Linked DNA regions of Drosophila melanogaster. The protein of the gene in region 1 purifies or fractionates together with the protein of each later gene. This does not show direct contact. Each region holds a gene or a part of one and is shown on either strand. Other genes may lie near its edges.

Evidence for each region.
Region 2: the proteins of Brr2 (region 1) and CG1965 purify together in Drosophila melanogaster (affinity purification with mass spectrometry, with the first as the bait; one large-scale study listed by BioGRID). This does not show direct contact.
Region 3: the proteins of Brr2 (region 1) and CG4849 purify together in Drosophila melanogaster (affinity purification with mass spectrometry, with the first as the bait; one large-scale study listed by BioGRID). This does not show direct contact.

Annotation. Positions count from the first base shown.
Region 1 is NT_037436.4:15,959,607-15,970,656, forward strand, and holds Brr2 (Brr2 U5 snRNP complex subunit), read right to left. Parts: upstream 8,267-11,050; 5' UTR 8,147-8,266; coding exon 8,102-8,146; intron 8,006-8,101; coding exon 7,310-8,005; intron 7,253-7,309; coding exon 2,509-7,252; intron 2,445-2,508; coding exon 2,270-2,444; intron 2,215-2,269; coding exon 1,932-2,214; intron 1,874-1,931; coding exon 1,388-1,873; 3' UTR 1,230-1,387; downstream 1-1,229. Other genes in the region: CG17032 (uncharacterized protein), read left to right, coding at 82-902; CG10516 (uncharacterized protein), read left to right, coding at 8,764-9,087, 9,393-9,954, 10,020-10,162; brm (brahma), read right to left, coding at 10,771-11,050. UniProt on the Drosophila melanogaster protein: Catalyzes the ATP-dependent unwinding of U4/U6 RNA duplices, an essential step in the assembly of a catalytically active spliceosome. Plays a role in pre-mRNA splicing.
Region 2 is NT_033777.3:7,061,962-7,072,124, reverse strand, and holds CG1965 (uncharacterized protein), read right to left. Parts: upstream 4,725-10,163; 5' UTR 4,616-4,724; coding exon 4,396-4,615; intron 4,338-4,395; coding exon 4,036-4,337; coding exon of another isoform or gene 4,031-4,035; intron 3,418-4,030; coding exon 3,177-3,417; intron 3,120-3,176; coding exon 2,937-3,119; coding exon of another isoform or gene 2,929-2,936; exon of another isoform or gene 2,841-2,928; coding exon 2,187-2,840; intron 2,101-2,186; coding exon 1,552-2,100; intron 1,494-1,551; coding exon 1,301-1,493; intron 1,232-1,300; coding exon 908-1,231; intron 853-907; coding exon 801-852; 3' UTR 501-800; downstream 1-500. Other genes in the region: Ufl1 (UFM1 specific ligase 1), read left to right, coding at 1-209, 264-403; CG1105 (uncharacterized protein), read left to right, coding at 5,087-5,201, 5,828-5,983, 6,405-7,247, 7,356-7,510; Mst84B (Male-specific transcript 84B), read right to left, coding at 8,069-9,805.
Region 3 is NT_033777.3:27,959,931-27,969,438, reverse strand, and holds CG4849 (uncharacterized protein), read right to left. Parts: upstream 6,025-9,508; 5' UTR 5,886-6,024; intron 5,760-5,885; 5' UTR 5,752-5,759; coding exon 5,638-5,751; intron 5,578-5,637; coding exon 4,909-5,577; intron 4,851-4,908; coding exon 4,759-4,850; intron 4,700-4,758; coding exon 4,508-4,699; intron 4,455-4,507; coding exon 2,952-4,454; intron 2,887-2,951; coding exon 2,529-2,886; 3' UTR 2,481-2,528; downstream 1-2,480. Other genes in the region: betaTub97EF (beta-Tubulin at 97EF), read left to right, coding at 248-512, 1,848-2,170, 2,238-2,333; CG31131 (uncharacterized protein), read left to right, coding at 6,259-7,398; CG31253 (uncharacterized protein), read left to right, coding at 8,905-9,508.

The DNA.
Region 1 (11,050 bases):
TTGCCGATTATTCAGCTTCTATTAATTAAATTAAAATAAATATAAAATATTTTATAAAGTATATACCATTGCATTTTACAGCTTCCAAGGGCGCCACTATCGAGGAAGTAGTGGTGGAATCAGCCTTGTACATCAAACCGAAGTCTAATCCGCAGGTGCGTCGCGTCCGTTCGGTCCTGGATCAAATATCCGGAATCCAGGCCGCTCACAAGAGGGTGAAGCGTCAGTTTGGGCGACAATTTGGTGGTCAGTATGCTGGAAATCCCGGCTTCGGTGGCGGATTCGGTGGAGAGCCTGGTTTTGGAGGTGGATTCGGCGGTAATCAAGGATTTGGAGGCAACCAGGGATTCGGAGGTAATCAGGGTTTCGGCGGTAATCAGGAATTCGGCGGTAACCCAGGATTCGGAGGAAATCCCGGATTCGGCGGTAATCAAGGTGGAAAAGTTCAGGCAGGTACATCGGCCGGCGCTGGGGGAACCAAAGCGGGTGTTGATGTTGGTGCCGGACCAGATGGCGGCAATGCCAATGCCAACGTCGAGTTAAATCCGCTGGGACCACTCGGACCCAGTGGTTACAACCAGGAGCAGGCCGCATCCAACGGAGCTGCCCACAGCAACTACAACAATGGACTCAACTCAGGATCCTCGGCCGCCAGTGGGCAGGCTCAGGGCTTCCAGTCGCAGAGTGCCAATGGATCATTCGGTGCCTCCTCCGCAAGCACGGCCACTCAGTCCCAGAACACCAGCCCCTTTGGATCCAATAATGCGGCAGGTGCTTCGCTGAGTCAGGTTTACCATCTTCCCAATGGACAGACAATAAACTTTAGCTCCACGAACAGCTTCGCTAATGGAGGAGCCAATCGTGGCAGTAGCCATGGATCGGCAGTTTCTGTCAGCCGCTAAAAGCCAAGTTCACCATACAGGGAAAATACCTCCAAGTTAATCTATTTGTCAGCAATCCTATGTGCAAATATCTAAAAAATCCAAATAAATATTTATGATTGAATTGAATTTGAATGAATAATTTGAATGATTTTTTTAAAATCTAAACGGTTGCATTTTGATGATCCAGATTACAAATTACAACAAACTTGAATTGTTCCATACGAAATTTAAAAGCTTAAGACAATATAAGAATTGGCACTGTTGACTACAAAATATTTAGATTCTTGGTATCAACCAGCGAAAGAAAGTTGAAAGGTTTTTTTTATTTTGTTTTTTTTTTTTTTTGTACTACTTTATATAATTATCCTCAGTGTATCCTTGTACAATTTGGTTTCTACTAAAGTAGTACACGAATTTATTATTGCTACAATTAATGCGCGTAAATTGTAAAATGATTGATTTTCATTTGTGCAAACATGCCCAACTGATGATCCTAAAGAAAACTAATCTGACTCGCTTTCGCTTTCCGACTGGAAGTCACCCACTTCGATGGAAAACTTGTACTCCTGATCACAACCCAAATAGGAATCGCTCATGTAGTACAGAGTGTAGTCGTGTTTGCCCGGACTAGGTGCCACAAAGTCCAGCTTGACCTTTGCCTTTTGCTGCAGCGTGAGCCGTTTGATGGAGAGCAGGGAGTTGGTCTTGGGATCACCTATGACGACCCACCATCCTTCTTCGCGCTTCTGCGGGAAGAATGGAGCAATGACTGGGCCAGTGACCTCATCCTCACGTTCCAGTTGAACCACTACATTAACGGTTGATCCTGAGTTGATGCGATCCTTGTCCACCACCTCATAGTTCAGCTCAATGTTGGGGTAACGGTTGCAGAATCGAGCAACATCGGCCATTTGTAAATCGGAGAGCTGCAGCAGGCGAGTGCGATCCTCGTCCTCCAATTCCATGATATCGAAAACGGTTTCGATTTTCTGAAATATACGACGAAACATGAGATAATCCTAGAGATTCACTTGTTGTTACTCTCACCTTCTCTGTGCACCGCTTGACAATCTCGGGACTAAAGTGCGGCAACTGTTTCAAGTACGAGTCCTTGCTCCACATGGCCTGCGTGACCATCTGAGCCAGCTCCATGGCAGCCACAGCCGGCGACAGCCAGCCATTTGAACTCAGCACATCTACGCAGGCCTGAATGAGGCGGATGGCCTTGCTCAGTATCTGCTCCGTATCGCCTTGCAGTTCAGGTCCCAGTTGCAATCGCGAAAGATGAGCCTGAAGCAGCAAATTGGTCTTGATGTGCGGATCATTGAATCTAAAAATAACATTGGTAAAATTCTTTTTAAGATCTAAATGTATGGGTTGCTTACTTTGGAGCCGTTTCATTGGGTCCTGTGAGTTTGTTGGGCAGTCGCTGAGACAGCGTGCGCAGAACCTGCTCCTCATGATGCCTGACCACAACATCCTCGTACTCAGCTGCCGATGAAATAATTTCCAGCAGGCCCCGCACTTTTGTTTTGCTGTTGAGGGACAAACTGAAGAGCTCTGGGAAAAAATGATAGGAAAATGAAGATGACAATTGCCTAAACTTAAATCTAATGCTTCATACCGATAGTTGTGTAGTTGATGTAATAGTAGGCAGCAATCATGCCCAGATTGAGTGGCAGCGTGTCCATATCATCCTCCACGCTAATACACTTGGACTGTTCTAGATCGCTCAGCGTATTCTCCACCAACTCCGAAAGATGGTCGGAGAGATGGCGATGCGTGACACCCTGCAGATTGTAGTAGTTGGGATTTTGGGTCAATCGTCTGTAGAGGAACGTCCAGGTGAGATAATCAACGGCATCCTGTTTGTTCTCAATTGTCTTGGTGACCACCTCGGCGTTAAAGTGATCATGCATTCTATGATCCAAATGACTTTCGATGGGCAGCGGCTCGTTGATGAATTTCTTAAAGAAGTCCTTCTTGCTGCTCTGGCACATCAGCACGCATTTGGCATCCGCATCCTCGTTCGGCCGATTGGCTCGACCAATCATTTGCAGCACGTCTGTAATGGGATAGTCCTCATACGAATGATTCTTGCCATTGTAAAATTGTGTGTCCATGATGATCACCAAGTGAGCGGAGATGCTCATGCCCCAGCAAAGGTCTCTGGAGATAACAGCTACTTGCACGGCGCCAGAGTCAAACAGCTGCTCCACCAGGCGATGATCTGAGGCGGATAGGCCCTCATGGAGATAGGCCACTCCTTGCGCTAGGGTCTCCTTCAAAGTTTTATCCGTCATTCGTTCGAGGAACGGCTTGATGTCCTCCTCCTCAGCATGGAAAAAACGGTTGGGTTGCAAATCCGATGCTGCGTAGGTCAAAACATCAATTGCAGTGAGCCTGGCCTGCTTTCTGGACGAGACAAACACAATCACCGGCTTGTGGGCGCTGTACTTGAGGATGGCATTGTAAACAGGCTTGGACATCGTAGCAATTCTGGTGGCGTTGTGAGTGACATTATAGCCCTGGATGTGCAGCTCCAACGGAATGGGACGCACGCTGGGGTGGAAATTGAAAGTGGCATTGGGATTACAGCCCAGCCACTGGGCGACATCCCTGGCATCCGTTAGCGATGCAGACAACGCCACTATTCTGATCTGTTTCTCAATCTGCGAGCTAATGTATCGCATCCTGGAGCATACAATTTCCAAAACGGGACCTTCTTCGCCACCAACCAACTGCAGTTCGTCCACAATGAACAGGTTCACCAATTGTACGTTCTTCCTCTGTTTCCATCTGCGAGACAACACATCCCACTTATCCGCAGTAGTGATCACCAGCTGTCCCTTGGCTATGAGCTTAAGATCGGTTCCAGTTTCGCCGGTCAATTTAACCACTTTTATGTCCAGGGATCCAAATTTGCTATGCCAATCCGCAAAAACTAAGTCCGCCAATGCCTCCTCCGAGACCAAATATACACATCGGGCATCGGATTGGGTAGTGAACAAGCGCATGATGGCAAACTCTGCAATAGTCATCTTTCCGGATCCGGTTGGTGCTCCAACAAAGACATTCTCATCACTATTGTAGACTGCGTTGAAGACCTGTGTCTGAATGGGATTGAATTGCGGGAAGCGTTGCGAATAAAAGGATTCAAACTTCGGCTGCCGGAGTGCACTAATAGGAAGCGGTTGGAGATCCAAAAGCTCCGTAGGTGGCATATTCTTCTCGGGCAGAATCAAGTGTCGGAAAGAAACTGGTAATTGGGTCTCTGCACCTATCCAACGATCTGAGACAATGCGAAGGAAGTACTGCGGTGGCAGAGGTTCAAAGACAGGCACAAAGAACTTAAGCTGGTGCTCATCTTGGGAATACTTCTGCTTCAGCAGGAAAAACTCATGATGGAGAATGAGTTCCGAGTCGACATCTTCAATTAAAACCCAGAAACCTTCCGACTGGCCATGCACCTTTTCATCCCATTGGAAATCCGGTGTAATTGTTAGTTCCACTCTCAGAGTTCCCCTTGTTATGGGTTGAATGTGCGTGGAGAGCTCCAATTTGGGGAACTGGTGCACAAACTTGTGGATGGTCTTTCCTAGCTTGGGCACTCTAATCAGCTCACCAAGTTCATGTGGCTCTAGATCGTAAAGCCTGCCCCAGGGGAAGTGTTTTTTCTCCAGCTTCTTGGCAATCTCATCGGGCATCTTCTTGAACTGCCTAAGTGGTGTCATCGATTGCCACATTCTTCTGTCGATCATCTTGCAGAGCGTCAACGTTTTGTCCGCCAATTGAGCCCATCCGCGGGTCAATACAATCTCAAAAATGGCTCTCATTAAACGGGCAGCGGATTGGGTAATAAACACCATGTCCGACATCAATGCAAAGCCCTCCAGTTTCAACTGGGAGATATAGGCTTGCAGCAAAACATTCACCTTGGCACTGTGCTCTTCAATGGACTCCTTAATGGGAATGGGCACTCGTTCCATGAGCTTCTGCAGCTCCAACTTTTCCTCTTCTCGGACGGAAATATGCCGGAATTCCGAGGATAGGGAGAATACGCGGAACAACTCAATCTCACTAAGAGTTTGCTTAAGGAGCTGGTTGTAAGTCAGCATGGTTTCATGGGTTAGGTAATAGTGAGAGGCAATGCGTCCCAGATCAGTAACCTGAAAGTGTCCCGTCTTCCGATCGTATTTAATAAGGCCACTTCTCTCCAGACAGCAAGCTGCGGTATGCAGGAGATCAGCACGATGCTGTTCCAACAGAGGATCAGCCTTGATGGCATCATGGGAAACTCCGTACAACGTGGGATTCCTCAGCATTCTAATGTACAGATAAGTGTAGCCCAACCAGTTAACTGCATCCTGGAGATGTTGGACCGTTCCTAGCACAATCTCCGCATTGAGCATGTCAGGAAGCTTGGAGATGAATTGGGACTCAATCGGCAACTGCTGGTTGAGCAAGGAGAGATAGAACTGCAACTCACTGTGATTGGTTATAAGAATACCCTCACCCTTGGTATCATACTGCGGTCGTCCAGCACGACCCAACATCTGCAGTACATCCAAAGCACTCAGCTCCACCCAACGTCCTTTTTCCGGATTGTATACCTGCGTGCCCTTGATGATTACAGTATGGGCAGGGAGATTGACACCCCAAGCTAGCGTGGCGGTGGAAACCAAAACTTGAATGTGCCGATCAGCAAATAGATCTTCCACCAAAGTACGATCGACGCGGGTCATTCCAGCATGATGAATGGCGAAGCCGTAGGGCAATAACTCCTTAAGCTCTGTGTTCTTTACTTGTTCGGCTTCAGTCCGCAGCACTTCCATGCTTGCTGATCCTTCCTTAAGAAAGCTACCAAGGGTATCCTGCTCCAGGCACATGTCCCTCACAGCCCTGGCCGTTTTTCCAGTCTCCTTGCGCGAGTGTACGAAGACCAGGACCTGATTACGCCCAGCATGCTCCATGGTCTTCTCATAAACGATCTCGTTCATCACCTGGAATCGCTTTAGGGCCTTCTTCTCCGTCACACCGATATACTGCTGCTCCAGGGACACAGGCCGATAGCTGTTATCAAAGTAGAAGAGGCCTTTATCGGGCTTTACGCGTAGGAAGGTGGCCACGTCCTGATAGTTGGGCAGTGTGGCAGATAAGCCCACCAATCGCACCTCCTCCTGGGTAGTTTCAATATTCCTTATCGTACGCGCCACCAGGGCCTCAAGCACCGGACCACGCTCGTCGTGGAGCAAGTGAATCTCATCGATGATAACCAACCGGACTAAGCTCACAAAGGTACGCTCGCCTCCCTTTCGAGTGATGATATCCCACTTCTCTGGTGTGCACACAATCACCTGCGTGGCGGCGATCTGTTCCCTGGTCAGCTGGTGATCTCCAGTCAACTCAGAGACCGTCAGATTATAGCAAGCAAGACGTCGTCCAAAATTGCCAACCATTTCCTGCACCAGCGATTTCATGGGAGCCACGTAAATGATTTTGAAATCCTGCGCATTGATGGTGCCATCCTCGTTGATGTGCTTTCCAATCTCCCGCATCATGGTTAGCAGTGCCACATTAGTTTTACCAGCTCCAGTAGGGGCGCACAGCAGCATATTCTCATCACTGTCCAGTGCGGCCTTGTACAAACGACTTTGGATACGATTAAGGGTCTTGAAACCCTCGAACACAGGCTGCACATATTTCGGAAGCTTGTCCACAGGCTGAAGTTCCTCATTGGCATCAAATGGCACGGGTTTCAGTGCAGGCACGTGCACCTCCTCGTAGCCCTTTCGTTGTTTCCTGTAGGAGCCGTCGGGAAGCTGACAGCGCTTGTTGGCCATAAAGTGAGATCCTTGAGTGAATGCCATCTCTTCCAACTCGAGTAGCTGTCGCACACCGGCCACCTGCCCGGCAGCCGCCGCTCCACCATCCTCTGCATCGCCTTTGCCACGCTTGCTTCCCCGTGCTTCGCCCTCCTCCTGATCCTCTGACTTTCCCGTATCCAATTGCCGAAGGATTTTGGCCAACGCAGAATTTCCGCGCATCTTCTCGCGAATCCTTTGCCGCTCGCTGTCCGTTTGGGCCGAGGCGAGCATGGTGCAGTACAGGACCATCTGCCGGTTAAGCTTCAATTGCTTAATGAAGTCAAAGCAATCGTAGCCCAGCAGAAGCACCAATTGATTTTCGCAATCGCGATCGTCGGCGGCATCTTTGAGGATCTTCAACACATCGGCGGCTTTGCTTTGCGACACCATGGCGTCCTTGTAGAACTTGCTCAGACAACGCTGCAACCAATACGCATCTATGTCCAGAGGATGCAAGGAGCGCTCTTTCTTTACATTATTTGCGGCTTCCTCGTTGGCTAGCTGGGAAGGGATACACGAATAAGAAATGGGATTCGCAATTTTAACTACATTACTCACATTCTCTGCATGCAGTGTGTGATCAATGCGGGCCTCCTCTCCTTCATCCTGGGCATCATCGTCGCGAATCTCGCCATACATGTCGTTGTCGCTCTCCTCTTCGGATTCCTCAAACTGAACATTGATGCCGTAGGTTTCATCGATCTGCTCCTCGTTGTTGGGAGCAGCAGTCAAAGCATTCACGGCATCGCTGCCAAAGTCTGTGATTTTTTTGCCCAGGTTAACCAGCAGAGCGAATCGCTCATCTGTAACTGCGCCCAGCAAGCTGTCTATATCCTTCTTTCGCTCCCGATCCTTTAAACGATCGTTCTTGAGGACAGCCAGAATCTCATCAGCGGCACCGCACAGGATATCCCTGGGCTGATCCCCCAGAGCCTCCTGGATGAAACTGAGCAGGACCTCGTAGGTCTGACGAGTTTCCTGGGTCTTGGGTCGATACACAATGCCCACCATCTCGTCAATGCCCTCGGAGAGCAGAGTGGCTCCCTTCATCCGCTCGAAATCGTACTGGGCCTCGTCGCGCTTCTGACGTTTCACCTTGCGCTCCTCCGTTTTCTCCGGCTTCGTTCGCTGGTACCGATCTCCCATCCTTGTTCCGTCCAGCTTTCCCACCAGGGAACACACCTCGCCAGTGGCCTCATCGCGGCGCGGACGTTCGATGAGTCGGACATCGGCTTGCAGCACAAGATTGGAGTTCTGAAAAATGGAAAATACATTTAACGTGTTTGTGAAATTCTGGTGAGACGCCGCATGGAGTGGGAGAAGTTTTCCCGGGCGGGATTTGACACTTACCGCCTTGTACTCGTATTGCAGCTGACGTGCTGCGGCATCCGCCATGTCTGTTTAGTTGTTTTTATAAGTATTAAGCACTTTTATTAACCTATTTTACAACTTTTTGCGGAAATATCGTAGTGAAAAGCCGCTGTTTGTGGCTACGCGTGCTGCCAGATTGTCAAAAGGCTAAAGAGATGCCATATGTGCGAAGCCAACTGAAAATCGATATCAGGGCTGCCATTTGTAGGAAACCTATCGTTAGCGCGCGCATCTAAGTTTTTAAAAATGTAGCCCATCAACATTCTATTTAAAATTTGAATACTGGTTTTTTAGCTTTTGTAAACACCAAAATTTCCTACGCACTAGCAATCCACAAAAGAAATTGCTATAAATTTGACCATAATTCTCATAATTGAGATATATCTAGTATATTTTAAGTTCCGAACTGCGGCTTCGGTCACACTGGCGGCGACGTCGGCAGCGATGCCGACGTCTATTTACAACGCATCGTTTTGTTTATTGTTCAGTCAGATCAGAGTAATGTGCTTATATATGAGGCTGCAGCTGGTTTAACTGGAAACATTTGTGGTCCGTCGACTGCTCGAGATCATTGTACACGGCTGACACAATTCATTACAAAGCAATCGAAGGTAAACCAGTGAAGAGGAACAAGTGCCAGCATGCTGCTGCCCCCGTACCAAGAAGCCTGCAATCCCGGCTTCTGTGATTGCCCGTTTCCCAACTCCATTGAGGTTACCAACCACAAGGGCCATATACCCGACCTGGTCAGGTGCCAATGCGGCGAGGATGAGTCCGGAAACGTGAATGCCTGGCGGTGGCACGCCACTGATGAATCGGATGCCGTGGTCACCGACCGGGACATCATCTTCCATCCCACCTACAGTCAGGGCACGGCGATTGTGAGAGGGGAACAGGCCCTAAAAACAAACATGGTGCACTTTTGGGAGATGCGCGTCATCACGACTCTGGCCGGCACGGATGTGGTTAGTTATCAGGCCGGCTTGGCAACTAGTTGGGATGCTCAGCATGATGAATGTCACTCAAAGTCGCCGCCTTAAAATAGAACACAACTAACCAGGCATCTGGTGTGCTCGTTTCCATTGGAGACGACTTGATTGTTCGCTTCGTTGTATTATGGATTACAGATTACAACGCGGCGATAAGATAACAGACGCAGCGGGAGGAGGAAATCTCAGCAGACACCCCAACTAGATGATAAGCCAGCTAAAGTTCAATGTAAATAATGTTCTCTTTATAATTGCCTTTCTTTTCTTATAACTTTTCCTAGATGTTCGGCATCGGCACGGAAAGCGTTAATCTAGGGCAGTTCAAGTTTCACTTTGTCTCGGCCCTGGGCACCAATGCCCAGTCCTGGGGCTTTTCGTATTCCGGAAGGATTCAGCACTGTGGCGAGTTACTGCCCTACGGCCAGAAGTTCTCGCAGGGCTGCTTGATTGGTGTCTGTTTGGATCGAACGCGTGGGCACTTGGAGTTCTATTTGAACCGCAGATCGCTGGGAGTGGCCTACACCAATGTCCCGACGGATCCGGATGTCAAAATATATCCCATGGTCTGCTCCACAGCCGCGAAGTCCGTAATTAGGCTGATCAACTGCACTTCGCAACCAGTCACACTGCAGCTGCGATCTTTCCAAGCATTGTCCAGGCAGCCGCTCAAATTGGCCGAACTGCGTCAAATGCCGGGTCTCAAAGGCATCATGCAATCCTACTGGTTCCTGGCACCGCCAATTCGTTACTCCCGGAACTCCCGCGAAAACGAATTGGATCTGGGCGACGAAGCAGTGCTCTCAAGCTCCAAGCAACGGTTGAGGCGCAAACAAAAGTACCGAGGTGAGGTCACGAAGTTACGTCCACTATCATTTCTGCCACATCACTTTTGCAATTTCAATTAATAGAAACCGACGATGCGGCTGTTGATGAGGACGACTTGTACGCCAATGCACACAAAATCACGTTGCGAAGCAGTGATAGCGGCGACGAGGAGCACACCGCTAGTGTCCACGAGATGTGCGACGAGTACTTCCACTACCTGCTTTAGTCTTACCAAGCATATCAATATGTTTAAGTATGCATTTATTTGAAGGAGCTTAGTTATAAATGTAATAAGTAGAAATGCTGAAGCTAATTTTAATTACTGTAAGACTTCCTAAAATACAACTTATTAATTAAACGAAACATCATAATTTTCCCATTTTGATATATTTAAAACCATTTCCTTTATACGCTAGCAGCGATGTATTCATTTAGGTACCGATTTAAATAAGATCTTTGTTACTAATTCCAGCCTGGTCTAGGTTGAACAATCTCTCAAGGAGCAATCCGCCGTCCATTAATGACAAGTTTTTCGATTTACTTTATGTTAGGTATGCATTTATTTTAAAGCACATAATTATACAATCAATAGAATTGGGAGAAATAAATGGTGTGTGCGAAAATAATTGAATAGGAAACTTAATCGAGAACCTACAACTAGAAAATTAGTATAGATAAAAGTGATAGCATGATAGGTTAGATGGTTAAAAAAACCCGTAGGCTAGGGTTTTGGTAAGCATCGTCCTTGAAAGTAAAACTTAAACTAATTAATAATCAATTGCCCATGCCTTCGACATCCGACGATCCGCGCTTGAAGATCACTCCCAACGGTAGCTAGTCCATGTCATCGTCGTCATCGTCTGAAATAGTGTACTTCTTTTGGGAGCGCTTGCGACGCGTCTGCTTCTTGGATGTGGTAGCCGCTCCGCTGCTCACATTCGACGATGATTGCGTGGGCGTAGCGGGCGCACTAGCCAGAGATTTGTTCAGTTTCAGCTTCATTTTGACAGCCGCCGCTGAAGTGGTTGCAATCTCCTCGTCGTCGGAGCCGTCATCGCCACCATCGTCGTCGTCGTTGTCCGAATTATCCGAACCTCCATTGCCGTGCGCTTCA
Region 2 (10,163 bases), on another chromosome or scaffold:
GCTCATCGCAGACCACAAAAAGAAGCTGCAGAAGCAGCTACTAGAGTGCAACGAGCCGGCACTGCTGCTGCACCTGGCTGCACTGATCTTGTTCACCACGATCACTGGTAGCATTTTGCACGCGTCCGGAAAATTCGTTTCTGCCATACTGCAGCATATTCGCGGCTCACTAAACGAGGACCAGAATGCTCTGTTGCTTCGGTATCACGGTGAGTTTTTGCAACCATAATTTGCGTTTTACCTAATTCTTACATACATTTCAGATTTGGTCCTGCAAGTTCTGCAGGCCATTCCCGATAGCAATGAGTCAAAACTGGCCAACGAACATTTGCAGACAATGCAGAATCAAGTGGTGGAGCTAGCTCAAAACTTTTCACGTGCATCGATTTCTAAGGCTGATTGATGATGCTCCTATATTCCAATCTTTCTTCCCATGTCATTAAATTGCGTCTATGTAAATTGGTTCTGGTCTGCAATAGATTTTGCATTTGTTAAATTTTCATAGTTTATAAATTGTTTTTATTACTGCTATGCATGAAGTTACAAAACGATGAGCCTTAAACAGAGTTCCTAGCTTTATCACTTTCGAAGGTTTGGGTTGTTGGAAAAACGATTTAAAATTGATTAGTTTGGAAGGGCTGTTCTCCATTTAGTTTGTTAAGCTCAAGCTTGAATTAAATAAATCTCTTACGAAGCTACTTATATACAATATTTTCTAACAGACCGATATAAGTTGTGCATTTCTTTATAACGAGTATTTGATTGTTAGGATTGATGTGAGCGATGTTTGTCCCTACACTTTATAAACTATGTAGTCTTTGAAGTATTTGCTTGGCTTTATCGCTGGATTGCCTGCAAAAAGGGAAATGATTGCTTTTAACTCTCAAAAGTGAGTTTCATTACTTACATAAAGATTGGATTGCTTGCATCACAGTTCTCTAATGTTTGTTTAATATATCCTATAAAAAGTTCCATGTTCTTGAGGGTCTCGCTGTTCGGTAACAACCAGACTGTAGGCAGGGTATTTACAATGATGTAAGCTTTGTTTATGGCATCGTTTGGCGTGCAGACTCGCATAGCTAATAACAGGTAACGATTCAGAAGGGCTCCAATCGCCAGCTCACGCAGTAGCTTATCAGCCAGGATGCCCTGCCAGCTTAGGAAATTTCGAAACAGCTTTAGACCACTGCAAAACTGCCTCTGAAAGAATGAGGTCTTCGCCTCTTGCACTCTAAAGTTCAAACAAAAAGCGGTAATTAAGACCATGATGGCCAATCTTTTGCAAGAATAATATACTTACTGCTTTGGAAAAATGGGTATAAATACATCATTTTCTAGGGCTAACCGCATGCGTTCCATGATGGATTCAAACAGTTTGTTAAGCTGCTTATTTGTGCCGCTCAAGGGAAACTCGCGACCTAATCGATTGATGAACCCAACCAATCTCAGGGTCTGTGTGGTAGATAATGGATCCCAGCATTCTGTGACCAGAGCTAAAAAACATTCATTTATTACCCCGCTTCGCGTTTTTTTTTAATGTGTAAAACTCACCAGTCACCTTGGGCAGCACAATCTTTTCGATGAGCGCCGGCACCAGATTGATATCCGGATCGATTTTCAGCTGCTCCACGGTTTCATCTGCCTGGGAGGCATAAAGCATGCAGGCCTGATACCAACGCATATTTTCTATATCCGCATACACGTCCAGCAGTGGCGACCAAAGAACAAGTTCGTGTCGCACCAGCGGAGCCAAGACTTTTGGAAGGCACAGGCTAACAAATGCGTCCTGGTATGACGACATGTCAGTTTTACGCCAGGCAAAAAACTTCATTAGTATTAGCTCGATCTTGCTAAAGTCGTCGGTAACGTCTTCAAGGGCGTCCACCGACTGTGATTCTATCTGCGCCATCGTAGTCACACTCAGTTCCTGCTGTTGATCGGCAATTTCATCGTCGCTTGACATGCCATCCAGGTGGGACGAGAGCAGATCATTGCGCTCGCGCTCGCATCGGCGACGTGTCCTCCGACCCTCCCGTTCCGCTGCGCGGCGAACTTGTTCTTCATAATCAGGTGTTCGGCGGGAGGCAGCTGTTATAGGTTCTAAAAGCAGAAGATTGAACATATTAATATAGTTTAATAATCGAATTATTTTCCCTAAGACAAGACTAAAAACAAAATTCTCATACTTGCTGATTCGGCGATTTCTTTGGCCTGATCACGTACATCCTGCCTCCGTCTGTTTACCAAATAACGTTGATTTTTGCCATACTGTTGCAGTGCACGCTTCTCAAGATCGTATATTACTGGCGCTTTTTCCGAGAGGCAATCGACAAGGTCATTCACATAGCACTTTATTTCTTGGTAAAACTTGTACTTTGCGGCCGCTGTCGGTGCATTCTGCTGGCACTCTAACTGCTGGAGCTTTAATGCCTTTAGTTCTGTACTAATCCTGGCCATACTAGCGCTGTGATCAGCCGACCGCTCTTTAAGCTCGCTAAGACGCGATTGAATGGCAGCTAGGATTTCCTGAGGAGTTCGCAATGCTGTAGCCTTGGCCTTTTCCTTCTTGGTTTTGACGGATGATCGAACTGCTGCGGCTAAGTTGGTGCGCTCAAGGGCATTTTTAGCATAGGCCTGCTCCAGCAGAGTGGACGTGGACTGTGCCGCTGTTGAATCTCCGTCGTCCATGCCGGTTCCGATGCCCGACGGGGCAGGCTTGATCATAAAACGGGAGAGCACTGTTTCATGCTGAGAATGGACCAACTGGGCTGCCGTAACACCCTTGCGGATCTGCTGGTTTTCCCACTCGTTCATCTCGCGATCTGAATCTCCGTCGGTGGCTGCAGAGGAGTGAGCAAAGGTTAACAATAGTCTAAAAACTTCACCTGTAATTAGCCTGGCTCTGGTCACAAATCGGACTTGGTCCCTCTACATACAATCATTTTCGACAGCATAAAATTGCTCGCGCCGCTCTTCACGCTCTTTGCGTCCCGTAATATCGTTCATGTCCATGCGTTCTTCATCATCCGACTGATCACCCTCAACATCTTCGCAGGGCAGACGGTTGCTTAGCTTGGCCGGCTCCTTGGGCTCCTCAATAGGTATATAGTCGCCTGCACCTGGAATATAACACAAAGAGTAAGCCATCGCTAGTGTGGCAACGTGTCGAATCTTACCCTGTTCTCTAGCCCTTTGCCGACGTTTTCGGGCAGCGTGTATCATTGCTGCATCCGGAATGGAACCACTTTCGAGCATCTGTTTCAAATGTTCTGGCTTGGAGAAACGGTGACGCGTTTTGTCATGGCCACCATCCTCGGATTGCTGGTCTTCTTCATCGCTCATATCCTCCCGTCCAGCGCAAAGGGCAGCTCTACCGTTCAGAATTGCCTCGGGAGTCTCAGATTTCTTTACCACTAGCTGGGGACAAGATAAGTAAGTTTTATATTATTGTGGATTCCTAAAGGACTTCGATTAGGGTGAAGCATTGGTATTCATGCTGCTTTTGTGGAAGGGAAGACATGCGACTATCAATGGTGGGAAAATTACTATTTATGTGACTACGTTAGCAATGGCTTTGATTTTTGGTAATTCAAAAAATATATCTTTGAATGTTACATAATATTTAAATAGTTTTCTTCTGGTAAGGTCAAGTTGTATGCGTCAATTTATTATCAAAGAAAGAATGAGTTAGAATGTTCTGTGATAAATTTTCTAATTCGTGGTCATAGTTACAGTAGTAGTACTTAAAGATCGCATTATAATTGGAAATTTTATGTTGAGTGATAGTTGGATCGCAGATCCTAGACACTTCCCATCACTGACCAGTTAAAACGCCAAGCAAATCAACGTCTAAGCTACTAATATTTTAAAATTGGCACTTCAGACCAGAAAAACCAACTAATTTAATAACACATTTAAACTCATTCAGCCTAATCTTTGCTGCTAATTGTTCTACGATAATTCAATGTAATTTCTGATGTTGAAATTTCGTTAAACGGTATTATTGTAGAAGAAATTGAATAATAATAACCTTACCACAAAGTCGTCTGTGCGTATTTCGGTTTGGATCATATGATTATCACTTTTTTTACTTTTACTCTGATCGCTGGCACTTTTATATCTGCCAGCATTGGCAGGATTCGAGTTGGAATTCGGGGGACCCGATGATGGGCCACCGGACGACTCTAAATGCTGTGTACTACCATTTTCGCCCCCGGGATGTCCGCTGTTTTCCGCCCGTTCCTCGCGCTTCTTCTTGCGGCGTTCCTTGTCCAGCATGCGCATCACTTTCTTGCTATGCGACGACTTTCGCACCTGGAACACCTCGCCGTCATCCTCTGCAAAAGAATTGGGGATTTTGGCTCCATACTCTTTTTATATTCCGGTATCACTCACCATCATCTGCGAAGCTGAGCAGCGCCTTTGGCTTGCTGTTGTCCTCCTGCGGCTTTATGGCCTTCCGGCTCTTCTCTTTCTCCCTCTTGCCCGAAATTATGGGAGGCGGTGGCGCCTCCATTTCGGCGTCCGGATCCAAGGATGCGCCGTCCTCCTCTTCGTCAGCGTTGCTGGAGAACACGCGTCGCTGAATTTTCTTCGGTTTGCGAAAAAGCGACATTTTCCACGATGTTGTTGTTACTCTGCGATTTGTTTAATCAATGAAAAATCGGAAGAAAAGCGAATTTTCGCAAGATCTCTTCTTCTTGCTGTCGTATTGTAATAGAGATGAAAATCTTTCGATGTCGTTCTCGTGCTCACGTGAGTCACGAGCAGGGCTGGAACGTTAATTCTCGGTCCTCGGTCTAGCACTTACAAAACTTTTCTGTATTGAAAATATGAATAGCTTTACAAATTTTGAAACTATTGTAACAATTAAATAAAAATGTGATAAATACATTAATTTGTATACCCAGGGCAGCTACACATAAAACTGGTCTTATTAAAATATCGGCAAGAGCTTAGATGACTTTTCATCCCTAGATACCGACAACGGCCATCTCTAATCTCTGAATTCGGCGACCGCAGGGCGTTTCAAAACAGACCGAAAAGTCGTTAACTTATTGGTGCCTTGAGTCACAGAATCTCTAACATGGGCCTTAAAGGTTGTGAATTGCAATTGGACAACCCGTGGAACACCTACTACGCCGGTCAGACGGTCAACGGCCAGGTGAAGTTTACGTTCGACTCGCCCAAAAAAGTCCGAGGTAAGTGCGAATCCAAGTCCCAATTGTGGGCAGCGCTGGAGAATGCTAATTAAAACCCCAGCTGCTTACTATTACTCATAGGAGTGACGACACCTGTGTAAGAGTCAATGATTAATTGGAAATTTAGTAAATAAATATACATAGCACTTTCGTCTTCAATGTGCAGGATGTTCACTGGCTGTCGTTGGTAGTTTCCTTGCTAACTTCTTAAAATCCTGACGCAAAAAGCCGGCGCACCACCCACAAATGTCGGTTGCTCTTTCGGTGCCTAAACGACCTTGTTTTCAGAAAGCTGGCGGTTGTTAAACCCTCCAAAGAAATGCACTTTCTCCTCTTTTCAGTTGGGCGATAACAACTATAAATAGCTCCAAGTGTGAATGAATACAAAAGAAAGTAAATAAATATGTAGTACATTTGACGGGGGCATGTAACCTATGTGGCAAACATTCCACCATAATCAAATTTTGAGGTCACCAAACACGGGAGACAGATGCTGCCTGGTAGCGATGATGTCATCCGTTGAGTATGCCTTAGAAAGCTTTTCATATTATTTATAGCTAAAATTAAAGCGCCACAGTGACGTCGTCGATTGTCATTCCGTAAATACAGCCACTTGTTTCTCGTAGGTATTATCATTCGGTTCCTGGGAGAAGCCAACACCGAGTGGTCAGAGGAGAAGAGCGTAACCACCAGCGAGGGCAAGACCGAGAACGAGGTCACCCAACTGAAGGGGCATGAGGAGTACTTTAAGATCCAGTACTATCTGCTGGGCGGCAAAAACAGTAAGTACAAAAAACAGACCGGGAATTCACTCCCCGGTTGCCAGACCTTAGTTTATCTGAAAAGAATTGGAGGATTTAATTATTGAAAGTGTCTATTATTAAGCATAAATTTTTGTATTCTATGGTGTAAGAATTGGCCAAGAAGATTTTTGTTTAAAATTAAATTTGTCCTTATATGAATCGAATAAATGGGATTGCACTTCCTCGCTCTATATAAAATAATAACTAAATCTTGTAATTACTATACACCTTATAGCATTAATAACTTCTCCTTTTGAAACTACAATAATTTAATGTTTTTATTTAGCTTTATTAAATAATATACCTTGACAGACCCTTCCTCTGCGCGTAAGAATTGAAAACATAATAAGCTATAAGTGACCTTTTTAAAATGCTAAAAGTTAAATGTATGATTTTGCAGGCTCTGAGACGGAACTACCGCCTGGCACTCACACTTATCCATTCACCTGTGCTCTGCCGCCTAATCTACCCTCATCCTTTGAGGGCGAATTTGGCCATGTGCGCTATACCATCAAGGTGACGCTTGATCGTCCGTGGAAATTCGATCAGGACATGAAGATGGCGTTCACAGTAATAGCGCCCGTTGATCTAAATCTCAATCCTCGAGTCAAGGAGCCATTCAAGCTCGAGCTAGAAAAGTCATTCTGCTGTTTTTGCTGTCGCTCAGGACCGCTGGCTGTCATCACGAACATCCCGCAAACAGGATTCGTTTCGGGGCAGGTGCTGCCCATCACCTGCGAGGTGGACAACACCAGCAACGTAAATCTTACGGCAGTGAAGTTTGAACTGCGTAAGCTGGTCACCTTCCACACAAACCAGCCACGGAGCGAGAAGCGCGAGTCCAAGGTGATCATAGCCAACTTAAGTGTTGGCCCAGTCAATGGCGGCGAGTCTCGCACGTTTACGCAACAAATGGAGATTCCGGCGCTGCCACCGACCAACCTCCTCAACTGCGGGATTATCGCTTTGGACTACGACCTGCATGTGGAGTGCGAGGTGAGCGGTCCGCACCGCAATCTCACTGGCAAGGTGCCAATCACCTTGGGCACTATTCCATTGGCTGGCGTACGGCCACCTACTCAATTTACGGATGCTCCGTCGGCGGTTCAGTCCGAGGATCCATCGCTGGCGCCCACACAGCCAGTGAGCCCGGCGAGCCCTCCTGGCGGCGATGGCGTGGGTGGTGCTCTAGGCTGGAACGTGGCTGACAGTACTGGTGGTGGTTCACTGTATCCTAATATACGTGAGTATTAAAATTATGGAGTTTTGTGGATTTTCTTTTAAATTATAAAAGCTTCTTAGTAGGGTTATATATCTTTATTTATTAAAATATTCTATTTTCATTTTGCAGCGCCACCGCAGTTTGTGGAGACACAGTACCGGGCACCAACGATCGCCGGTAGGGACGACTCCGAGCATACGCAGATGATCGGCGACGGAGCCTTCGCACCTCGGTATCCGACTTTCCAGTTTAATAATGCCACAGCACCGCCAGCTAGCCAGTGATTGAATCTCTAAGCTAGACCCACAATGATATTCTTAAACTTTGATGTCGAACTATTTTCTTCTGGCTGTCTCTGTTTCTGGAGGGTTAGCTTTCGCAATTTTTATCGGCTTTGCATTTATGAAATATTAGCTTTCCGTCCAAATAGAAAGCATAAACAGGTGCAGTCAAAATAAAAAAGGTCTACCTATACAAAGTTTTTGAAATGCTTAACTTCTGTTTATAATTAAATAGCTTTCGGACAGTAAATACAAAGAATTGGGTCTTTATTATTTTGACTGCATCTGTGTTTAATTTAATAATCGTATAAATACGCACAATTGTCAATTCCGATTTAAACTGCTCAAATTTAATTTTTTCTGTTTTTTTTTAAGCCAGCAATAGTGCCTAAAACTGATGTACGACTATAATCGTAATAAAACACAAAAGATAATGAAGGTTTGATACATGGGCATAGCCAAATCCTGGGAGCCAAAAATGTGTTGAGCCTTGAGGAACTTGTTTTATACGGAGCATTGGGAGATTTAAGAACTTGGAATGATGGTGCTATCGTTCCATATTTACTTCTTCTTTTTCTTGCAGTATTCATTCAGTTCCCTGGCCTTTCTTGCTTTCTTCTCACACTTGCACTGTTCCTTCAGAGCTATTTTTTTGCATTTGGCCTTGAGGATCTTCATCTTCTTTTTCCTTTGTCTAAGCTTCTTTTCGGCTATTTTTTTGCATATCTGAAAAAGTCCTTCGGGATTGGCTTTCGGCTTCGGTGGTGAGGGTGGTGCGGCTTTAGATGGTGGAGGGGATGGATTAGCAGCTTTTGGTGGTTGGGCAGGAGGCGGAGATGGCGTTTTAGCGATCTCCTTCTTCACCTCCTTCTTTACCTCCTGTTTGATGTTCTCTTTGACATCCGTTTTAGCTACTGGAGCAGATTTGCTAGCATTCTTCTTAACTTGGGCTGCTTCCTTGAACTTGTATTTAGCGCATACATCAACTTCTTTTGGTTTTTGCTGTTTGTTGATTTTCTTGCACATTGCTTTTTTCGCTTTCTCTGCGCTTTCAGCCTTTTTTCTGTCCTGCTCAGCTTCTCGCAAGGCTTTGAGTCGGTCCGCCTCCAGCTTAGCGGCCTTTTCGCATTCCGCCTTCTCCTTGTTGGCCTTATCCTTTTTCGCCTGCTTGCGGCACTTTTGAATCGCCGCCATTTTCTTACACTGCTCTTTCATTTGCTTGGCCCGGGCTTTTGCGGCTAGGCCCCTAAGTTTTATCTGCTTTGCCTTCGCCTTCTTTCTCGCTTCCTTGGCCATCTTTGCGCACTGTCTCTTTAATTCGCAAAGATCTTCTTCAGGCCCTTTTTTGGCTTCCTCTTCGGCCCTTCTCCTGGCCTCCTCTTCTTCGCGTTTCCTTTCTTCTTCGGCTCTCTTTCGGGCTTCTTCAGCCAATCGGGCGCACTCTTGCCTTTCTTTTTCTTCTCGACACGCTCGTTTGATGGCTTCTATTTTCGCCTGCTTTTCGCAATTCATTTGATCGGCCATTTTCTGGATGGCCTTGTTTAGCTTTTCCAACTCTTCCTCCTCGTCGGGGCATTTCTTCTTACATTCTTCTTCCTGTTCACAATCTCCTCTTTCTTTTTTGACGCACTTCATGCATTGCTCTATTTCCTTCTTTTTCTGACATTTTTTCACCTTGGCCATTTTTTTACACTTTTTCATTGCGACCTTTTCCCTGCACTTGTTTAACTTTTTCTGAGCCTTAAACTTCTTGCACCTCTTTTTAAGCTTTTCCATGTCATCATCTCCATCATCGCCTTTCTTTCCACCACCCTTGCCACACTTCTGCTTCTTCTTACCCCCACTCGACCCTTTGCTGCACTTTTCTTTCCCAAACCCCTCGGCGGAACTGGCGGTTTCACAGAAAATTTCTCGCTTGAAGGACATCTCACCATCCAACAAATCCTTTCTCAAGATCCTCTGGTTCAGCCGCTTCTCCAGGTCTTCCAGGAACGCACTTCTCAACGGCTGATCGAGTCGATGGCTAAGTGTATCACAAGTACCTGAAGACAAAAGACGAGAATCATACATTTTTTTTGCAGAAGCATGAGTAAGTTTAGAAAACCGGCCTTCCTGGCAAATCAACACGCTCTGCAGCTCTTTCGGCGTTCTCCCATAGTCCTGTTTTGATTTCTGCACAAGATTCAGATCCTTCATGCATTTCACTATGTGATACATCCGGAGACACCTGCTACAATTGCAGACACGGAAACAGGCATCAGGGTAGTGGCTCAACGCCAGCGAGGCTCTTTTCAACATGTTTTTTATGCTTTGGTTCCAAAATTTAACAGATAATTTTAAGAACAAATCGGGTTAAAATGCAAAAACTAAGAGGATTTCGACCCGATCTGCGCCATTATGTTCCGAAAACTGGGAAGTAAATGGGCCTGTATTTGACGTAATTATCACAGTAAGTGTGTGAAATAGTGAAGTAGACTATTATTAAAATAATAATATTCTTATGCGGAGTCGATATACTGAATTTTTTTTATTAGGACGGCTAAGACAAATCATGACGGCATATACTGAAAATCCAGGTTTTTTATTGTTAAGCTACTCATTCTCAAGAAAGTCTTATTTGGCATAAGGTTGCATTTGACTATACGATATATACGGT
Region 3 (9,508 bases), on another chromosome or scaffold:
ATCAGAGCTTGCGCATCTGCTCGCCCACCTACCAGGATCTCAACCACCTGGTGTCAGTGAGTAGCCAAGACATTAGCATTAACGTGAAGCAAAGATGAAGATGAGGATAATGATGACCAGATGTCCACACCAGGAGCAATAAGTCCACCCTACCTTTCCCACAATCAAATCAAAAGAACAGAATTTGAAGTCCATGTAATCTGTAATTTTTTTCTGACAGTAATGTAGCTTTTCCTCACCCAACCAGGTCACAATGTCCGGAGTGACCACCTGCCTGCGCTTCCCTGGCCAGCTGAACGCTGATCTTCGCAAGCTGGCGGTGAACATGGTGCCCTTCCCGCGTCTGCACTTCTTCATGCCCGGATTCGCTCCGCTGACCGCCAAGGGATCCCAGCAATATCGCGCCCTCACGGTGGCCGAGCTGACCCAGCAAATGTTCGATGCCAAAAACATGATGACCGCCTGTGATCCCCGGCACGGACGCTACCTCACCGTGGCCTGCATCTTCCGGGGTGAGTCCTGCCGTTTGATGAATGAAACCACCGGGGTGGGAAAAGAAAAATAGTTATTTAACAAGAAGCCCTAAACACTTTCACGCGTAGCCAGAAAACACAGGGATCCATTCATTCATCCATCCGCTCATTTATTCAGGAGCCCCCACACCGGCTTATCCCAGTCAACTTTGTCACTTTGTCATGGGCAGTCGGCGGCGCACCTGTCCGCCGCTTTTCCGGACCCGCAGGCACGTAGTCGAGCCATCAGGGGCGGATCAAGGGATCCGCAAGGAGCGGTTTTTAGAATAAGAAAAAAATTGAAAGGCTGAAAACTAAGCAATTACCAAAACTAGTGGTAGTATTACCAAACCAAACCAAAGGACTGTCTGACAAGGAAGACATCGTATAGATAGAGATCTGAGCCGCATCTGCAGGACACCCCCTTAGAATAGAACGACACAGCCGCCCCTGGCCAACACCTTGGACTCCTGGGGCTTGGCTTTGGCGACGATTTTATTAGCGAAAGCCGAGCACTGGGCCTACTACTTATGGGCGCCACTAAAAATGATTAATGCCCGCTGGCTGGCGGCTAAAAAGGCTGCAATCCGTCAACGCGCACGTAGCGCAAATTTGTTAGCCATGGCATCGTGGCATGCCGCCCTCGCCACGCCCACCGAAAAGGTTGCTTCGCATTTTTTTTTTTTCGCGCTAATTCCTAAATTAATAAACTGCGATGCGGCGCCCAAAAGTGTGCCGCATAATATTTCATTTGCTATTCCTTGTGTGCGCTCGCGCCGCTTTGGCCCCTTTGCTTTTGACTGATGACTCGCAAAACGCGCGTAATTAGAAATTTACTTTCAAGATCCATTGGGGAATTGCGACCGCCGCCTGACACGGCCCCCAGGCCCAACTAATCATGCCGAACGTGACTTGGCCTGCACTGCGTTCCAGCGCACCCGCACTCAAGCTTAGCCCAGGTTCAGCCCAGATCCGGCGTCACCATCTCAGGATTCGTTATCGTCTCCGACCGACTGCCAGAAATACTTGCAAAATAATTAATCACAAAAATGTGCGGAAAAAATGCCAGCGAGCAGGAATTTAAACAACTTTTTTAGTTACCTCCTGGGACTTTTTCACTGTTTCCATTCCCAAGCTCCGAGCTGAGATCCCAGTGCAGGTGCCCGGCCAGGTGCGCAGGCAGAACTTGGAAGCCATTTAGTATTTCATATTCAGGGATTTGGGGATTCCGCCGGCGCATCAAAGCGAACTTGTCTTTTGATGTAAATGTTTAAATGCGCACAGGAAGATTGTACGAAGGCAATTTTGTTTCAACGCTCTCTCAATAATTAACAGGACCCATGTCCATGAAGGAGGTGGACACGCAGATGTACAACGTGCAGAGCAAGAACAGCAGCTACTTTGTCGAATGGATTCCCAACAACGTCAAGGTGGCCGTCTGCGACATCCCGCCCCGTGGGCTCAAGATGTCCGCCACCTTCATTGGCAACTCGACCGCCATCCAGGAGATCTTTAAGCGCATCTCCGAGCAGTTCACTGCCATGTTCCGGCGCAAGGCCTTCTTGCACTGGTACACCGGCGAGGGCATGGACGAGATGGAGTTCACCGAGGCCGAGAGCAACATGAACGATCTGATATCCGAGTACCAACAGTACCAGGTTAGCGATCCCTCCATATCCTTGCAAAGTATCTCTAAAAACGATTTCCATTGGTTTCCTCCTTTAGGAGGCTACCGCCGACGACGAAGTGGAGTTCGATGACGAGCAGGCCGAGCAGGAAGGCTACGAGTCGGAGGTCCTGCAGAACGGCAATGGCGAGTAAAGTCCTAGAAACTATCACAACTGTAGCTGTTTTCTGTATACTATTTTGTAAATTATTTGTCCCGAAAAGGCTTCAAATAAATATTTAGTAAATATAGTAAAAAAAAACACTACTCCCTTTAAAGTTCGCAATTGAAATTCGGAAAGTATGTCTAAATGTTTTATTTGTTTTCCCGATTCCTGATTTGTGGGAAGTCTAAAGCGGGTAGTTGATCAGCACATCCTGGCGTGCCAACTCCAGCAACATAGGATCGTCGAAGAATTTGTTGATGGACACGTCCTCGGACAGACCCTTCCTGCGACGCGTCTTGATCATAAACTCTCTGGCCAAATGGGATGCTTGCTGCGGCTCCAGTGGCCGGATTATGATGCTCTTGTCCAGGGGATCGCCAGGCACTATCTGCCAGTGATGGAACACCGAAAGGCAGAAGGCCTGGCCCTGGGTGTGCGTGCGGAGATCCGTCTCAAATCCAAATGAATCAATGGCGGGTATGAAGGCTTTGATCGTATATATGGGAGAACCCGATACGGGAGCATCCTGCGTTACGTGGCCTCTGCAAAATAGATTATATAAAATTTAGAGGCATTCTCTTACGGAAACATGAGCAGCAAAACTTACCTGCGCCTGGCCAGCACAGTATAGACAGCGGATACACAATCTGCCGGCGCCTGAACCTCCACAAATAGATATGGTTCCATTAAACGTGGGGTGGCCATCAAAAACGCCGAGTATGCCACACGACGGGCTGTTGGAATGATCTGTCCACCGCCTCGATGCAACGCCTCGTTGGCGATGACGCCATCGAGAATCTTAAACTTGACATTACGGATTGGCTCCTCGCACAGCGGCCCTTCTCGCGTTCCCCATTGGAAGCCCTGCACAATCGAATCCTTAACCGCGGTCAGCAGGTTCTTGTCCACTTCCGAGGGCAGGGTGTCGTCGACCAGGATATTTGGACCCGTGGAGTCGGGACCGAAGGCCCAAATGGAACGCGCCGCAAGCAGATCCCAATCGTAGTTGACTTGGAAGAACTCGCCGATGCGCTTTTTGTTCCAGTTTATGCAGACGGTTCCGTTCTCAATGTCCTCGGCCAGTCCCTTCTCCAGTGGCTCCGAGATCATGGTTATTTTGTTTTTCTTATTCGGCGTTTCGGCGAAACATTTCAGGGAACTCGTTTCCACAACTGTTTCGCAAAAAGCCACGACGGGATCCGCCACTTTGATGTCGATCTCGGAGTACATCTTCCGCAGATCGTGCATGACACAATCCAAGTACAGCTCGCCAGTGCCCAGAATAACATGCTCGCCGGATTCTTCAACTCGAGTGGAGAGAAGTGGATAGGATTTATTCACCTTGCGGAGGCCATCCAACATCTTGGGAAGCTCGGATGGATTCACTGGCTCCACAGCAATCTTGATAATGCTCTGGGTGTTGAACTTCAGTGGTCGGAATATGTAGAGGTCTTCTGGAACATTAATATCCACAATTGTGGAGGTCTTAACGATACACTGATCGATGCCTTCGATGAGCACCCAATTTCCGGCGGGTACACGATTTAACTCCACCTTGTAACGAGACTCAAATACCCACAGACGACCGACTTGCAGAATGCGAGAGTCCTCCTCATCCTGCAAGGTGTAGTTCTCTCCCAGGACACGCACCTCCTGGCCAGCGTGTAGAGTACCAGAGACAATCCTCGCCAGCACTTGGAAGAAGGTACAGTCGTCGTTGGGATACATCTTGGAACTGTGCACCATCAGAGTGCCGTATTGGTTGCATGATATCATATCCCGGTAAATGTCACCCTCTTTGGGTCCAGTGTATATATGGTCCACCTTTCGCTTGGCATTTTCCAAAGGGGATTTAATGTGCTCCACGCACATATCCACAAAACCGCTGCAGTCGCCCATGAAGCGGTTACAGACGAGACGCAGCAGTGGTCTTATATTGGACTTCATCTCCTCCTTGGAGACGCGCACATTCAGCTCGGCCAGAGTGTCCGACAAAGTGGTGTCCACATCGCCAACCACCTGGGCTATCAGCTTGTACATGGGCTCCAAAATGAACTCCACAAAGCTGCGCTGTGCCGAATTGTGCGGCTGCTTCTTCGAGAACTTGCGCCTATTAAAATAGTTGGTATTAGCAAATGATTTGGATATTTAGGCAGCACTTACGTTTTACTGTTGAAGTACATGTCACCCCAGAGCCGCTTGGCAAAGTCCAGGTAAGCCACTCCCTCATAGGTGTCTGCATACAGCTTGGCAAAGGATTTCAGAGTGAAACAAAATCCGTACAACGAGCTGGCGAAGCACACGTTGCCCAAAATAGGCGAAACTAAGAGATTGTCATCTGGAGCGCCATAGGTGCTGTAAGAAAATTACACATTAGTAAAATCATTAGTGTTGAGTATGAATCACGTAATCACCTCAGCAGCCCATTGACTTCCTCCACAATGTGTTTCAACTTAAAGTAGGCGTCCTGGGGCGGCAATTTCAGCTCCAGGATGAGGCGATCAATCTGCACGTCAGAGGAAACCATTAGAAAGTTTAGTGTCACCTTAAGGCCAAACCCTCACCTTGTTTATGCAAACGGTGATAGCCTGGCGCTCTTGCACCGCGTGCTTGAGCAGTCGCTCCGTGTTGAGCATGACGCCCTCGGCGGCATCGATGAACAGCACGACACCATCGCTCATTCGCATGGCGGCGGTGGCCTCGTCCGAGAAGTTGACATGCCCCGGGGTGTCGAAGATGTTCAGCAAGTAGCTCTTCTGTTTGACATCCTGCAGGACAAGTGTGACCGGCGTGGCCTTGATGCTGCAGCCGCGTTCCTGTTCCGTGAACAGGGTGTCCGTGTAGCGCAACTGGCGCTCCTCCATGGTCTCAAATTGCGGATGCGTCTGCCGGATGAGGCAGTCGACAAAGGTGGTCTTGCCGTGGTGCAGGTGGCCAACCAAAGCCACGTTGCGAATAAGCGGCGGAGTGTCCATGAGATCGGCCATGAACTCCATGTCGTAGGTGGTCTCCTGCATGTCTTGCTCCTTGATCTGGAACTTGAGCTTCTTCACTGGCTCTATAAGCGGCTTGTCCAGCGGCTGGGCGTCCTCCTCCTGGACAATGGTCTCCACATCCGGGCCGTAGACCTCAACTGCTGACGGATAGTAGCGTTTGTCCTCGTGCAAAACCACGGCGGTCACCTCCTTGTCCTCGTCCTCCTGTGGCTCCACCTCGTCCTCGTCCATGGCGTCCTTTAAATGAAACACCATAAATTAATTATAAGTTTTATTTTATTTTTTGCACGTTTATACCTCTGGGTCATCCTGCACATCGGGTTGCCCATAAATACTTTGCTCATCTTCCTCGTCGCTGTCTAAATCGGGGCCAATATAGTTGCCAAACTCATCGTACAAATCGGAATCCATGGTTTTTCCTAAAATAAATATATATATCAATACTTTCATTCAAAATTTGCCGGTGGCGTCTTAGAAAATTTAAAACTTTCACGGTGACTCGAAACTTATGCTACTCTTGTTTTTTGTTGTTTTTACCGACTTACCAATTGTTACAGGACCTTCTGATTGCTAAATTCTTCTTTAAAACGTAAGAAAACTGCAAATAATATAATTATTCACAATTTTTACACAAAAACGCGGACTGCAAACACGCTGTTCTTCTTCTTCCCCGAAAAACACTCAGCTGTTAAGCGGCCGGCATTACCTACGGCATTGCCAGCACAAATAAAGTAAGCGCTTGCAGCCCTGGCGGCAACATTTGAATTTTCCAGTTCATTAGGGCTAATTAACGTTTTTGCCAAGAAAGCAGGTAGCTAAAATACGCGTTGAAACGTAGGTAGACCCTTGCGTTTATATTGCACTGCAGTCGCCAAAGGTAATTAGTCGAAAGTGTCAACCGAAGGTATCAGCATCATAATGAGAAAATTCTGTTTGCTTCTTTTAATGGCGCATTTTGTGGCCTCAAGCCGAAATTTAAACGATATTCTCGGTCGCGAGGAGTGGATTAGCATAGCCAAGGAATACATCAAGAACCACAAGCCTTACAAAGCCAAAATCTACACACCCTACAAGCCGCGCATCGTAAATTTTACCAATCCGTTCGATGGAGATTTTTGGGACACAACTACGGTGGCCACCAATCCGCAGGAGACTACTGGCTACTTCACTGGGGAAGTATCTACTACAACGGAGAAAAGTGCCACTGAGGAATCTACAACTACGGCGGTGGATTATTCAACCACCGAATCTAGTTATGTAACTTCAACCACGGATACTTTATATTCCACGACAACAGCTTGGCCGGAAGTCACCAGCACAGATGCTATAGATGCCACTGAATCAGTAGCCCTATATTCCACAACAACTTCGAGTCCAGAAGCTGCAGATTCAACGACAGAAAGCAATTCAGACAGTACTGAATATGCTGAATCAACGTTAATTTATCCAGATTTATCTACAGGATGGCAAGAAACTACTACAGAAACCATTCAGAGCTCTACAGGATTGCAGGAATCAACAACAACAGAGTTTATGCCAAGTACTACGGAATTTCCGGAATCAACGACTACTTTAAGTTCTGAATTTTCAGAGAAAGAACTAATAAAAACTACCACAGAAATAGAAATCAATCCAAGCACTACAGAATTGCCGGAATCAACGACTGAATCTGCTGATTCTACCACAGAACCGAACGAATCCACGTTTGCATTATCCACAGATCAAACTACAACTGAAACAGCAGAAACTTCAACAGAAGAATTGTTTTCAACCACAGAAACCCAGGAATCTACTACATCCTTGCTGGAAATCATTGCCACGACTCCGGGCGTGGAAACTACCACGTCGTATCTGGATGCAGTGATTGACAGCACCGAAGAGGAAAGTTCTACATTATCAACACCATTTGGATTTAATTTAACAACAACGGAAATAGTAGAAACTCAAGTAGAAACCACAACACCAAGGCAATTGAATTTCGTCGAAGATTACGTTCGCCAGAGACCGAGAAAATTGAAGTACTCTTCGGACACGGAGCCGGAACTTTACTGGTACTGAAAATGATTGCAAATAAAAATTAAGAGTTTGATTAAAAATTTTTAGAAGCAAAAATTAAGAGTTTTAATTTAAATAAAAACGTAAAGCAATTGGCAACGCGATTTAAGCTATGGCTTATTTTAAACTAAGAAACGCGGTCACACTGGCCAAAAGCCAAACACATTGTTGTTTGATTTTTCAGCAGAAATTTTTTATTTTTTATTAGTTTATATCGTAAACATGAGTTTGTCCAGCATAAAACAGAAAGAAGCTAAGGGCAAAAAGAAATTGCTGCCCAAACTGCGCAATATTCTAGCCAATCCTTACAAACAGCACAGGTGAGGCGGGCAGAAACCAATAAAAACCCAATCAACAGGTTGTTTCTTTTGACTTTAGCCCTCTTTTATCGGAGGAGGAAGTGCAGCAGTTCCGTCAGATCCTTCAGAATGCAATTAAAAGCAGCGACGGGCAGACCAAATCGTTTGCCACTCGATACGGAATACATCTCGGCCTGGAGAGCTCCCTACGCGCCATAAACTCGCGGCGTTTCTCCTGCCTATTGGTTTCCTTGAGCCTGCGACCAACTCACCTCGTCCGTCTAATGGCCACCAGTGCATCTGTCAAGATGCCCACGTGCTCCTTGATCTGGAACTTGAGCTTCTTCACTGGCTCTATAAGCGGCTTGTCCAGCGGCTGGGCGTCCTCCTCCTGGACAATGGTCTCCACATCCGGGCCGTAGACCTCAACTGCTGACGGATAGTAGCGTTTGTCCTCGTGCAAAACCACGGCGGTCACCTCCTTGTCCTCGTCCTCCTGTGGCTCCACCTCGTCCTCGTCCATGGCGTCCTTTAAATGAAACACCATAAATTAATTATAAGTTTTATTTTATTTTTTGCACGTTTATACCTCTGGGTCATCCTGCACATCGGGTTGCCCATAAATACTTTGCTCATCTTCCTCGTCGCTGTCTAAATCGGGGCCAATATAGTTGCCAAACTCATCGTACAAATCGGAATCCATGGTTTTTCCTAAAATAAATATATATATCAATACTTTCATTCAAAATTTGCCGGTGGCGTCTTAGAAAATTTAAAACTTTCACGGTGACTCGAAACTTATGCTACTCTTGTTTTTTGTTGTTTTTACCGACTTACCAATTGTTACAGGACCTTCTGATTGCTAAATTCTTCTTTAAAACGTAAGAAAACTGCAAATAATATAATTATTCACAATTTTTACACAAAAACGCGGACTGCAAACACGCTGTTCTTCTTCTTCCCCGAAAAACACTCAGCTGTTAAGCGGCCGGCATTACCTACGGCATTGCCAGCACAAATAAAGTAAGCGCTTGCAGCCCTGGCGGCAACATTTGAATTTTCCAGTTCATTAGGGCTAATTAACGTTTTTGCCAAGAAAGCAGGTAGCTAAAATACGCGTTGAAACGTAGGTAGACCCTTGCGTTTATATTGCACTGCAGTCGCCAAAGGTAATTAGTCGAAAGTGTCAACCGAAGGTATCAGCATCATAATGAGAAAATTCTGTTTGCTTCTTTTAATGGCGCATTTTGTGGCCTCAAGCCGAAATTTAAACGATATTCTCGGTCGCGAGGAGTGGATTAGCATAGCCAAGGAATACATCAAGAACCACAAGCCTTACAAAGCCAAAATCTACACACCCTACAAGCCGCGCATCGTAAATTTTACCAATCCGTTCGATGGAGATTTTTGGGACACAACTACGGTGGCCACCAATCCGCAGGAGACTACTGGCTACTTCACTGGGGAAGTATCTACTACAACGGAGAAAAGTGCCACTGAGGAATCTACAACTACGGCGGTGGATTATTCAACCACCGAATCTAGTTATGTAACTTCAACCACGGATACTTTATATTCCACGACAACAGCTTGGCCGGAAGTCACCAGCACAGATGCTATAGATGCCACTGAATCAGTAGCCCTATATTCCACAACAACTTCGAGTCCAGAAGCTGCAGATTCAACGACAGAAAGCAATTCAGACAGTACTGAATATGCTGAATCAACGTTAATTTATCCAGATTTATCTACAGGATGGCAAGAAACTACTACAGAAACCATTCAGAGCTCTACAGGATTGCAGGAATCAACAA